Bombyx mori: one gene and its partner. The protein of the gene in region 2 purifies or fractionates together with the protein of the main gene of each other region. This does not show direct contact. Links are inferred from orthologs where the notes say so. Each region holds a gene or a part of one and is shown on either strand. Other genes may lie near its edges.

Evidence for each region.
Region 1: the proteins of protein crumbs (region 2) and patj homolog purify together in Drosophila melanogaster (affinity purification with western blotting; 7 studies listed by BioGRID, with this or other methods). This does not show direct contact. The link is inferred for Bombyx mori from reciprocal best matches to the Drosophila melanogaster genes crb and Patj.

What each region holds. Positions count from the first base shown.
Region 1 is NC_085111.1:10,377,913-10,384,318, reverse strand, and holds part of patj homolog, read right to left. Parts: intron 3,325-6,406; coding exon 3,168-3,324; intron 3,060-3,167; coding exon 2,893-3,059; intron 2,634-2,892; coding exon 2,504-2,633; intron 2,310-2,503; coding exon 2,197-2,309; intron 1,520-2,196; coding exon 1,383-1,519; intron 680-1,382; coding exon 537-679; intron 440-536; coding exon 362-439; intron 1-361. UniProt on the Drosophila melanogaster protein: Involved in cell polarity establishment. Probably participates in the assembly, positioning and maintenance of adherens junctions via its interaction with the SAC complex.
Region 2 is NC_085121.1:445,347-451,752, reverse strand, and holds part of protein crumbs, read right to left. Parts: coding exon 6,368-6,406; intron 6,292-6,367; coding exon 6,098-6,291; intron 4,592-6,097; coding exon 4,470-4,591; intron 4,389-4,469; coding exon 4,250-4,388; intron 343-4,249; coding exon 243-342; intron 1-242.

The DNA of each region.
Region 1 (6,406 bases), on a different chromosome or scaffold from region 2:
ATATATTAAACATATATCATAATGGTTATGTACTAGTTTAATTTTTAATAATTTTGATTACTCTGTAATATGCCATTATTAGTCTAATCCGAGTTCATAGCTTTGCCACCGAATATTAGCGTTCATGTTGTTATATCTATGGGCGCTAGGAGCTTAACGAGTAAACCGTGACTTCCCATCGATGTACCAAGTTCAAAAATCTAACTTATTGGCGGTAACATCGTAAGCAAATTTTTATTAACCGTTTTTATTTTGTTAATAGTGTTTATTTTGTTCTCCTGAAGTCTCAGTCGGATCCCACCGTTTCCTGGAACACCTCATAATATTTCATGGAAAAAAAAAGTAAAAGAATCGCCATTACCTGCAATAGTAATCCCTAAGCCGTTCTCGTCTTTCTTCAGTTGAACTGTGAATCTATCAACTTCTGGTGATTCAGCATCTGTGGGAGTATTATTTAGTTCTTCAATAAACATCTATTATATTCGATATTCTATGTAATCGATTATGTTCGAACTTATTGTACGTGTGCAATTTACCTGAATCTGGAGGGGGTGTTATGGGATTGTCAAATACAAATCTCGTCGAAGTGGAGCTGACAGGCACAGGCTGCGTATGGAACACTTGCTCAAAACCAGCTTCCATGAGATAGCGATCCAGCGATTCGGGGTCTGACAAAAGCCTGAAATTATTTTATTATTATTACCCTTGTAGGCACACGGCCCCCCTTTTTTATTTTTTATTGCTTAGATTAGTGAACGAGCTCACAGCCCACCTGGTGTTAAGTGGTTACTGGAGCCCATAGATATCTACGACGTAAATGCGCCACCCACCTTGAGATATAAGTTCTAAGGTCTCAAGTATAGTTACAACGGCTGCCCCACCCTTCAAACCGAAACGCATTACCGCTTCACTACCCGCGCGGACTCACAAGAGTTCCTACCACCAGTCATTACTCAAATTAAAATTTGCGGGTTTGATTTTATGTGAGTGGGTATCATCGTTCAATGCCAGGGGCACAGTCAAACCGCTGCCAACGAGTACTCTTCTCCAGCCTGGTTCGAAGAAAGACATGTCATAGAGCTAAAATTTACACTATAACAGTAATACATTAGAAAATGTATCGAGTATGAAACACGTCTTCCAAAACTGTCTATACGGCTCGGTGAGTTAAAGTAGACATGAATTCACTAAGGCCCCGGTATGGCTGGTATACACAGGTGGCGCTGACCACTGTTTGTCTTTGACACAGCTTTTTTATAAAAAAAAGAGACAGGCATAGAGTGAAAGACTTCAGGTTTATTGCTTCTTGTTTTATTTTTCCGATGCACACAATATCAGAATTAAAACGTACAATGTGGTACAAGTGTGGTATAACGAAGTACCTGGCAGGCACGACGGGAGCGGGTGACGCATGCAAGGCCGCCGGATCCACTGCTCGCGCCACGACGAGCCTCACACGACTACCGGACGCACGTAGCACACCAGCTACTTGCTCGGAACCCATCTCCATAAGGCTTACCTGAGCGGATAATTCGAATGCATTTTAATGGATTGTTGATATTAAGTGGATACTGGAACCCGTAGACATTATTACGTGAATGCCATTTACGTTGTAGATGTATATGTGCTCCAGTAACTACTTAATACCAGGTGGACTGTGAGATCGTCCACCCATCTAAGCAATATAAAAAAAAAGCCCACACCTCGAGACATATTATTATGGTCCAAGTCTTACTTGTATCATACAATGGTTGTGTCATGTGACATCCTTCAAATCTGAACGAATTACTGCTTCGCGGCAGAAATAGGCGGAGTGGTTACCTACCCGTGCCGGCTCACCAATCGCCCAACCAATATTAAACTTTTAGTAAAGCGAATGGTGTGTGCAAAAGATAGTAAAATACAACATAAGTAGATACTTTCAACTGTTTGTAACACCAAACCTCTTCAAACTAAACCATTGCTTTGTTTTCTTTCATTTTCAAGAGTCATAGAGATTATTAGAACGACTTTTACGGTTTATTCCAAAATGACCATGAAAATTGTACATAAGTCCATACGTTGGAAATAATAAACCCAAAATTAAACTGTAAAAGTAATTTATACTACATATATAGTTTAAACAACTTAGGCAAATATTTTTTCCTTAGTTATTTTTTTTAAATGTACTAATGTTCTTTTGTTTTGAGTATTTACATCTCCAATCTGTAGAATGTGATCTCCAGATTTTAGTCGGCCATCGCGATCAGCTACACCACCTGCTAGTATCGTCTTTACAATGACACCACTTGTTCTAGCACCTATAATACCTGTGTAAAATTAAATGAATTGTGAGCGGCATAAAAAATCTCCTCAATTTCATTAAGTATAACAAAATTGAATTTGATGCATGGTAGTAATTATTATTAAAAAATTAACTTGAATGTTATTAACAACAAAAATACATTTCAAGGCACTCATTAATCTCTCGGTCGAATAAGTTTTGAACATAACTAATGCTCACCAAATCCAAGGCCAGTTCCATCATTTACAAGATTTATAATTTCAACTTGTGCCCAGTCCCCTGCTACTACGTTGTGATTGGTAGATGCTAAAGAATCATCATTACGAGACAAATCTAATAAGCCACGACTCTGAAAAACAAATTGAAATGAATTTATTGTGAATCATAATGCTCTCATGCTCTGTTTAGTACATTTTAGAAAAAGTAATAATAATAAATATTTACTAACAATCACGCCACGTTAACTGGTCCCGTGGTAAGTTCGTAAAAACTTGGAAAATCATAAAAACTTGGAAAACCATATTCACATTTTAAGAATATTTGTAGAATTAGAAAAACATGTGACTTTTGTAAAACATAGCATAAATAACAATTTAATCTTTACATACTTGTTTAGGAGACATGTTAGAGTCAACAGAGCCACTATCAAGTCCAAGAATATGTTCATTATCAGATCCAAACTCCATACTATGTGGAGGTGAGACCTGTGGCACCCTTTGCTCCTCTTCACCCTCTTGATTTCCATACAAATTTCTTGTTTGTAATGCCAAGTCACCTTTAGAGCAAATATAGTTATGTAGGAAAATTGGTTAGGTATAATAAGTTCCATATACAAAAAATGGGCAATATTTTAATCAGGATATTTTTTTGGTTAAAAACTTACCAGCAGGAGTAATATCAAAATCTCCAGGTAAAATTGATGGGTGATGTGCAACCTGAGTTGCAAGCATGCCCACAGAGTCATGAAGTGTAGTAATACTTCGTAATATGGGACTCTCTAATAAACTTATTAGCATGTTCAAATCATCACTGGTTGCAGCCTAAAATTTGCAATGAAAATATATTACATATTTGTGTCTATTATTTTTAAACTTTTATAATACCAAAAGAATAATTAAATATATCAAAGAATATTAGACATGAGGCTACATAATAGGGAACTGAACAGTTAAGGAAAAAGGCAACTACGTGCTTTTAATAATTTTCATACAAAGCTTCCATAACTTTGGTGAGCTTAACTTCATTATATTGCGAGATGTTATTTGTGGTCAAATAAATAATTACCCAACCACAAGCTGTACATAGGTATGAAGGGTAGTTAATATTTTTTATTTAAAATCTGTAATTAAAATTAAGCCTTTTTTTCCAAAAAACACAGGTTCATTAATATCACAATAGGACTACAAATGTAAATGTTTAAGTATGTTTTTTATAAATTTTAATGGTCTAAGGTTCTTCAATGATCATACTATGTAGCCCTGAAGGAGGCAGTTTTGATGCATCTTACCAAATAAAAATACAATACTTAATATATTTTTTCTTGCACTAATCATTAGCAAATAAAAGATTTAGAAACCAAAAATTCAAAGAACTAAAAGAATAACTTCAAAAATTTTAATAAAAAATTACTCAAGCCAAAATTCTTGTTAGAAAATCTGAGAAATTTTCCTATCAAATAAAAAGAGAATTTTCAGAGAATTCAATTAAAAGAGAAATTTTGCAGGAATCAAGTATATGTAAAATACAGGCAAGTTAAGAGCTTTAAAGTCTGTTAGATTATCTACAATCAGTAATCTGAACTATAATCTATAAGTATAATCTATAATTTTTCGTAAATATAATTTTTAAAAATAATCCTAGTTTAGCTGCTTTTTCATATCGAATCTTTGCGAATGTAAAAAAAAATCACTCTGAAACAAATTAATGCTTTATGTTAATCAACCTTGGGTCTTTGTTTATATTAAATAAATCATTTCAACAATGGTCACAAGCACAACAATGATTAGCCAAGGGCGGATCCAGGGGGGTGGTCATGGGGGTCATGACCCCCCCCTAAGCTAGTTCCAGGACCTAGGTGGACCACATATTGAACGTAATGATTTTAGAACACAATATATTGTTGCTCCTTATATTGCTCCTTAATTAATTTAATATAATATAATAACTTTGTATGATGGCAAATGTTTGGGAACGAACGCATCGAAAAGGACAATACCCAAAAGTGGGCCAACTTTACGTCAAAACTATTTGTACTTGAAAAACTATGCCTTATTTTTTCACGTTGTTTAGTTTATGTATCAACATTTCGTTCAACCTGGCATTGTTTTACAAAAAAATAAATTACTTATTTGATAACATCCCAAAACTTAGTGACATAGTTTTTAAATCCGCCAATAGGCAAAGGGCTTAGCCCATACAGCCTTATAGTAAACCTATATGCTGCCAAACGAAAGAGTTGTCTGTGACTTGAAAAAAAAACAAATAAAATTTTTTTAGCTAAGGTTATAATTCCCTTCCGTGCTCACTTTCAGAACCTGGTCCCTCGTTTGTTGGGGGTGGCCGGCGCGCTAAGCCGGCTTCTGCCCAACGTCGGGGGGCCTGACCAGGTGACGCGCCGTCTCTATACGGGGGTGGTGCGATCAATGGCCCTATACGGGGCGCCCGTGTGAGGCCAGTCCCTGGCCGTGGGGGTGGCGAAGCTGCTGCAACGGCCGCAACGCACCATCGCGGTCAGGGTCATCCGTGGTTATCGCACCATCTCCTTTGAGGCGGCGTGTGTACTGGCTGGGACGCCGCCTTGGGTTCTGGAAGCGGAGGCGCTCGCCGCTGACTATAGGTGGCGGGCTGAACTTCGTGCCCGGGGCGTGGCGCGTCCCAGCCCCAGTGTGGTCAGAGCACGGAGGGCCCAATCTCGGCGGTCCGTGCTGGAGTCATGGTCCAGACGGCTGGCTGATCCTTCGGCTGGTCGTAGGACCGTCGAGGCGATTCGCCCGGTCCTTGTGGATTGGGTGAATCGTGACAGAGGACGCCTCACTTTCCGGCTTACGCAGGTGCTCACTGGGCATGGTTGTTTCGATGAGTTCCTGCACCGGATCACAGCCGAGCCGACGGCAGAGTGCCACCATTGTGGTTGCGACTTGGACACGGCAGAGCATACGCTCGTCGCCTGCCCCGCATGGGAGGGGTGGCGCCGTGTCCTCGTCGCAAAAATAGGAACCGACTTGTCGTTGCCGAGTGTTGTGGCATCGATGCTCGGCGACGACGAGTCTTGGAAGGCGATGCTCGACTTCTGCGAGTGCACCATCTCGCAGAAGGAGGCGGCGGGGCGCGTGAGAGACGCACAATCCCGCCGCCGTCGAGCGGGGGCCAGGGAGGCGGATCTCGCCCAAGCCCTGGCCCTCTAAGTGTTTCGGGTCCCCCTCACATGTCGGTCTGGGGACCGGCGAGGGGGGCCTAAGAAGACGACGTGCAAGCTGCTCTGCACGCGTTTTACGCAAGAGCATCCGGGTGATGGAAGGCCGGCTATCCTCGACCCACGCTGGTTCTGGCCCAGCGGGGTATTCCGTAGGGTAACCCACTCTAACCGGCGCCATCTAGGCGGGCTTCGGACAGTCTGCCGACCGAGAGGGCTGGTGGTCGTGGCGCCGACGACCGCCAGTCCGGCGTCCCGAGGGGGAGGGTGATGGGAGAGATGTGCTCCGCACTAAACGCTTCACTTTCCCCCCTTTGCCTTGTCATGAGTTCTGTCTCATGCGAGGTTTGGACGTTGGTTGTTGAGCGACAGGAGGTTTTAGTCAGTTCGACTCTGACATACCCCGCCCAGTATCCCCAGAAAAGGGCGGAAGTCCGGCGATTTCTTCCTGACCAAAAAAAAAAAAAAAAAAGGTTATAATTCACAGACTTTTTTGTTTATTTTTGTTCAATTCAATATTTATATATTGTAATGTATCCTAATATATAAATTGGGTGTTGTTTGTGTATTAAATTTGAGGCATTGGAATAAAACTGTGGCTAACATAGCAGGGACTGTTTTTTTTTTTCAAGATAAAAGGACTGCGGAAATTCACGCTCACTCAATGTGCTATTCATCGAGATGACGTGAAAACTCCCAAAAAGCAATAA
Region 2 (6,406 bases):
CCCCGCCCCGTCCTCTACCCCCGCACCCCCACTGGACCTTCAAAATTACGTTGTGACGAAGTCATTTTTGATGTCATATTTTCCATTTTTTTATACACCTTCCCATCTACGGCTCAGTAAAAAGATTATCTATGAAAATAAACAGTTGATGGTAGTACAGCGGGTGGGAGATCGCGCAGATCTAAGGTTGAACTGATTTCAGAAGACAACAAACAACTAGGGTATATTATGTGGTTACTCACGTGTAGGACCCGTTGAGGTTGCGGCAGTCCCCGGGCCCGCAGCTGACCAGTCCCTCGGCACACTCGTCCACGTCCACCTCGCAGCGCGCGCCCGTCCAGCCTGATCACAATATCCTCCGTCAGAATAAAATTACATCACTAACTCTAAAGCCGGATGGTGCGTGCCAAAAATTACCCCTGGAAACGCACGATGGGTAGGCGCAGTGGGTCCGGCGGCCGGTGATACGTCCGTAAACAAAAAAACAGCCAATAATGGGACCCTCACAGACAATTCCTCCACGAGTAAAGCGGGTTTCCCCATAGCAGGGGGAGGCCCTAATCTACTATCGAAGGATTAAATATCCAAAAATAATATTCCACGGGGGAGTAGTCGGAGTAAATAAAATAACTCTGTTGGAAAGTCTGATTTTTGTAATGATAAAAATGTCGATATATATGAACGAGCTGAAGGGTCCACGACCGGGGGTCTGGGAGGACATTGTTTGAATGCTCACCTGAACATAACTCTATAAACAAAACGAATTTCTCCATGAACAGATAAAAAATCGGCTAATAACATGTAAACTACTTTTAAGATTTAATTTGGCGTTTACTATTGTCAGTAGATATGTCAGCGGTGGTAGGCGTCCGGTTCGTCATGGCTCGGCGACCCTTTTTTATTAATTCTAATTATTTACCCCACTCAAACTGCATTATTTTTTGTTACTCTAGAGACTTTTGTGTATTGTTTTACTTAATTTTACAAGTTCGAGTGCAACGATAATGAGTTGTAATTATCACCGATAAAACAACAAAATCGTGATAATTACAAATAGACATGTGATCGCAGACCAACGTAACATTAATACATTAAATTATCACACCCTGTATAATTACAGTTCACTCCAGTCAGTTAAGTCGGACTCTGTTGAAGCGCAACCAGATTAACTTGTATGTTTGACAAGGTTTTAATTTTAATTTTTTTCATCGACTAAAACGTTATGTTTTTCGTGAGACTCAAAATATGAGTCAAGACGCGCATTTCTAGTTCGACCTCATGCCTCAAGTCGGGCGGCGCCGGCTCGTTACCGTGTCCACGGGGTGGACGCGGATGCTTGCTCATGTTTTAACGCTAAGGTAATGAGATAGCGGAGCGCAGTACAAATCCGAGCGGGTCCGTACCTGCCACAAACACGAAGACAACTATCCTCTCCATCACGTATAGCACGTTCATTGCACAATTATTCGCATCACTCACAAACCTTATTTCGATTTTATTAAAAACATTACTAAATCTAACACTTATTTGTAAGTACTTTTTAAATTTTCAGTAGTCATTATTATTTTTGATTTGACATCACGAAACAAATTTATTTATCAAAACCATTTTTCACTCCTAATCCCAATTCATCCAATAATTAATTCTTTAGATGTCACAATCTAAAATTCCGAAACTTATTGAGTACAAGCGCTTTTTGCAGCAGGAAATATGTGTTAAGAGGTCAGAGTGTTGTGTCACACTTTACCAAACTGACGCGGGCAACGGTGACGCGGAGCTGGCGGCTCCCAAAGTGCGCACGCGGGCGGGGGGCGCGGGGGGCGTCGGGGGGGGGGGCTGCTACGGAGGACACGGGTGGGTAGCGCGGGGGGGCGCAATCGTCTAATATCCAGTTGTCGTACTTGTGACGTGGTCACGGCAGCAGCAGAGCCCCTCTAGTTCCTATGGCGAGCTCCGTTACTTCGTGATCAGAGCTGGTAATAGACTGATTTAATCCGAGTGCGCAAGGCCTCTCCCTTTGCAATGGGATTGAGTAAGATCTAGACTTCTCTGTCGCGTGACGGCCGTAACTACAGTTTGAACTAGTTTAGGAAAGATATTAACATATATCTAAGGTGTTTTATTGGAATATAAAGCCCGCTATAAACATCCTAATAAAATAGAATACTAAATTTATTAATGATTAAGAAATATGTCATTTTGAAATATTCTTGTACTATGGGAAGTGTTACTTTGGTTTGAATAATATTACATATTTTAACTTTGGAATTATTTCATTAATATATGTTATTTATATCGACGCTTGAAAGGCAAACGTGACTAAGCGACAATGCGTGAACTTTACAGTAGACTAATTTAAAGTTGAAATACCTGAAAAAAAAATATTTTAACGGACCTAGCTATAGGCTTGAAATGATTTTAATAGACCTAGAAGCATGTTTTTTTTGCGCATCAAATATAGTTATTGCCTATAATTTATGTACAAAGTAGTTATTGTCGCTTGCCACGTTTGCCTTCCAAGCGTCGATATCATGTATCGGAATCACCAACATATGTAATATAATATGTATTGTGACTACGCGCGTCCTCGCAACGTCTTAGTTTTCCTCCTCGACCCGACCAGGAAATAAATATATTACAACTAAATTGGAACCGATAATAATTTGTGGGTCCTTTATTGGAGCGAATTTCTATTTGAGCAAAACTTTGAGAGCTTGTGGTTAACGTTATCAGTTTATCAGCTGCTATCAGCCGCGCGCGGCCGCCAGCGATAACTGCCGCCTTATCGATCAGTATAATGATAAACCTACAACTATGAGCAGGTTTCTTTATTTGATGAAATCAAAATGTATTTATTCCTCAAATATTGATTACCAAACTGTAAATATATTTATTAACCAATATATTTATGAAAGAAAATATTCTGTATGTTTAAATATTCATGGAAGTAAACAACATTAGATAAGGCGACCGTACGCCCGGAGACGTGTCCAGGTTCGATCCCGGAGTTGCCTGATCTCTTCCTCATTTTTAAAAGAAATGTCTACATGACCACGGCCCTGCCTACTTCTGCCGCGACACTAGGACACGTTCCGTTCGTCGGTAGGGGGAGACGGGTCGTGCGTGTGTGCGTGCGTGCGTGCGTGCGTGTGTGTGTGTGTGTGTGTGTGCGTGCGTGTGGGTGTGTGTGTGTGTATATGTGCGTGCGTGTGTGCGTGTGAGTGTGTGTGCGTGCGTGCGTGTGTGTGTGGGTGGGTGTATATGTGGGTGTGTGTGTATGTGTATGTATGTGTATGTGCGTGCGTGTGTGTGTTCGTGTGTGTGTGGGTGCATATGTGGGTGTGTGTATGTATATGTGGGTGTGGGTGTGTATATGTGCGTGCGTGTGTGTGTGTGTGTGTGTGTGTGCGTGCGTGTGGGTGTGTGTGTGTGTATATGTGCGTGCGTGTGTGCGTGTGAGTGTGTGTGCGTGCGTGCGTGTGTGTGTGGGTGGGTGTATATGTGGGTGTGTGTGTATGTGTATGTATGTGTATGTGCGTGTGAGTGTGTGTGCGTGCGTGCGTGTGTGTGTGGGTGGGTGTATATGTGCGTGCGTGTGTGCGTGTGAGTGTGTGTGCGTGCGTGCGTGTGTGTGTGGGTGGGTGTATATGTGGGTGTGTGTGTATGTGTATGTATCTGTATGTGCGTGCGTGTGTGTGTTCGTGTGTGTGTGGGTGCATATGTGGGTGTGTGTATGTATATGTGGGTGTGGGTGTGTATATGTGCGTGCGTGTGTGTGTGTGTGTGTGTGTGTGCGTGCGTGTGGGTGTGTGTGTGTGTATATGTGCGTGCGTGTGTGCGTGTGAGTGTGTGTGCGTGCGTGCGTGTGTGTGTGGGTGGGTGTATATGTGGGTGTGTGTGTATGTGTATGTATGTGTATGTGCGTGCGTGTGTGTGTTCGTGTGTGTGTGGGTGCATATGTGGGTGTGTGTATGTATATGTGGGTGTGGGTGTGTATATGTGCGTGCGTGTGTGTGTGTGGGTGTATATGTGGGTGTGTGTGTATATATGTGTGTGTGTGTGTTTATATGTGCGTGTGTGTATATGTGGGTGTGTGTGTATATGTGCGTGTGTGTGTGTATATGTGCGTGTGTGTGTGTACATGTGCGTGTGTGTGTGTATATGTGCGTGTGTGTGTGTATATGTGCGTGTGTGTGTATATGTGCGTGTGTGTGTGTATATGTGCGTGCGTGCGGGCGCGTGCAGTTACCGGTGGCGGTGCAGTCGCAGAGGAAGTGCTCGGAGTCCCGGTAGCAGCGGCCGCCGTGCTGGCAGTGGCCCACGCACTCGTCGCGCTCCTCCGAGCAGCGCGCGCCCGTCCAGCCCGGCGCGCACGCGCACTGCACGCCCTGCAACCACACCCACTGGTAACCATGGCATGTCGACAGGCGCTCGACAGAGCTCATACGTCACGGCGCCCCCCCCCCCACCTGCGCGTCGGCGCGGCACTCCCCGTGCACGCACGGCGTCACCTCGCAGAACGGCTTCTCGCAGTACACGCCCTCGTAGCCCTCCCGGCACTCGCACGTGAACTTGTTCCCGGTCGGAGGATCTGGAAACAACCAAATCATAAAATATTATTTCAGTTAACTTCACTTCTGTGACTTTTCATAATGCAACAAAAACGTCCCTTTTTAAAGATAAAACTTTAATCGACGTATGGATTTGAGTAGAGATAGAAGATGAAGAAGGAAGAGGAGCCGCTATCGGGCACCGCGCGACCTGCAGATGTATGCGTCTGACTTTTTTTTTCCTAAGCTGATAGCCTTGAGAGGCTATTTCAGCGTAACCTTAACTATAGTAGAGTTATTTTGTCCGTGCAGTTTGGGTCATAAAAAATCGGAGCAGTGCAGCGAGTATTTCGCTCTCTCTTCCACTCACAAGCCTTATGGACGGGCATAGTGATGCGCATTATTGTTGTCGATAAGCGTTATCGATAGTGTATTTAATTTTGTCATTTGGTGGGTTAGTGATAAAAATGAAAAAAAAAACACTAATCGAACACTTACACCACATATCGCCGCAGCAAGTTAACGAGAACGGCAAAAATTAACACTTTGTAACTTTTCGAGAACTATTCTTATTTCAGTGAAATTTTTTAACACATTGTTGATAACAACACGTGCAAATATTATTTTGAATAAATTCTGCCGTTTTGATACAAAACAAAGGAGTAGCTATTGGGTCACTAAAGAAATTCAGATAACGAATGCATAAAAACACATTTCTTTTCGACATAATGTACTATAATTTGCAGGTGACTCATAACCTAACAATATCTCACCACCCTTCGTATACCACCCCGCCGCTGTGTACCAGCCTTCGATAACTCATTTGTTTTTATCGATAATGGCTTTGCGCCCGCGCAACATGGTCACCGCCCTAGCCGGGTTATGTTTTATGACCCAAACTGCACGGACAAAATAATTCTACTATAGTAGGTACTCGCGGGGCTCAAACCTGACGACGTTGCTAACATGAACTCTAGCAAGAGCCGTGCTTCGCAGAAGCTACCACCGGATCGGAATCGCGACCCACTGAGAAGATCCGGCGAGAAACTCAGTGGGCTGTGTCCGAGGGTTAATTTACTCGTTGAGCCCTTCGTCGCAAGTGACGAGTTCGACGAGAACGGTGACCGGTGCTTGAAGTACCTAGAAGCACCGTTAGTGGATCGGGAGGATCCGAGATGACGTGTTTTGGGCGACGTCGACTGCTTTCCATTCTGTCCGCAGGATCGGGAATGTAGTTACCGGCGGCCACGATGAGAGGGTTCTCGTGTCGTGCCGCTTTATCGAACTGGGGTGCGTCTGATATATAACGTTAATTACCTTAGCAAGATCGAATTGAAATTTTTTTCAACTTCTCCCCTTCTTCTCGACCTCTTTCTTCAGTATCAAATTAAGAAGAAGAGGTCCTCAATCCACAGTGAAGTTTAAATTATGATTTTTTGCATCGTAATAAATATACGTACGCATATACAAGTTGATGTAGTTTTAATTTAGTCTAGTCACATAATACATAATATGCGTGTAGTGCAGTGTAGCGTGGAGGGCCTCACCGGGGGGGTCGTCCGTGCAGCGCGCGGCGCCGGGGGCGCAGGGGGAGTGTGCGCATGTGCGGGCGCGTGGCTCGCGACACGTGTCCCCGCGCCACTGCGGCGAGCACGTGCACGTGTAGCCGCCGGGCGCGTCCACGCACGTGCCGCCGTTGGCGCACGGGGACGACGTGCACTCGTCGATGTCGCTCTCGCACCTGCGGGCCGCGACACACTGGTCATGCTACTGGACACACATGCGACGTGCGGGGGGTGCACTGGCGCGACACTCACAGCTGCCCCTCGAAGCCGGGCGGGCACTCGCAGCGGTAG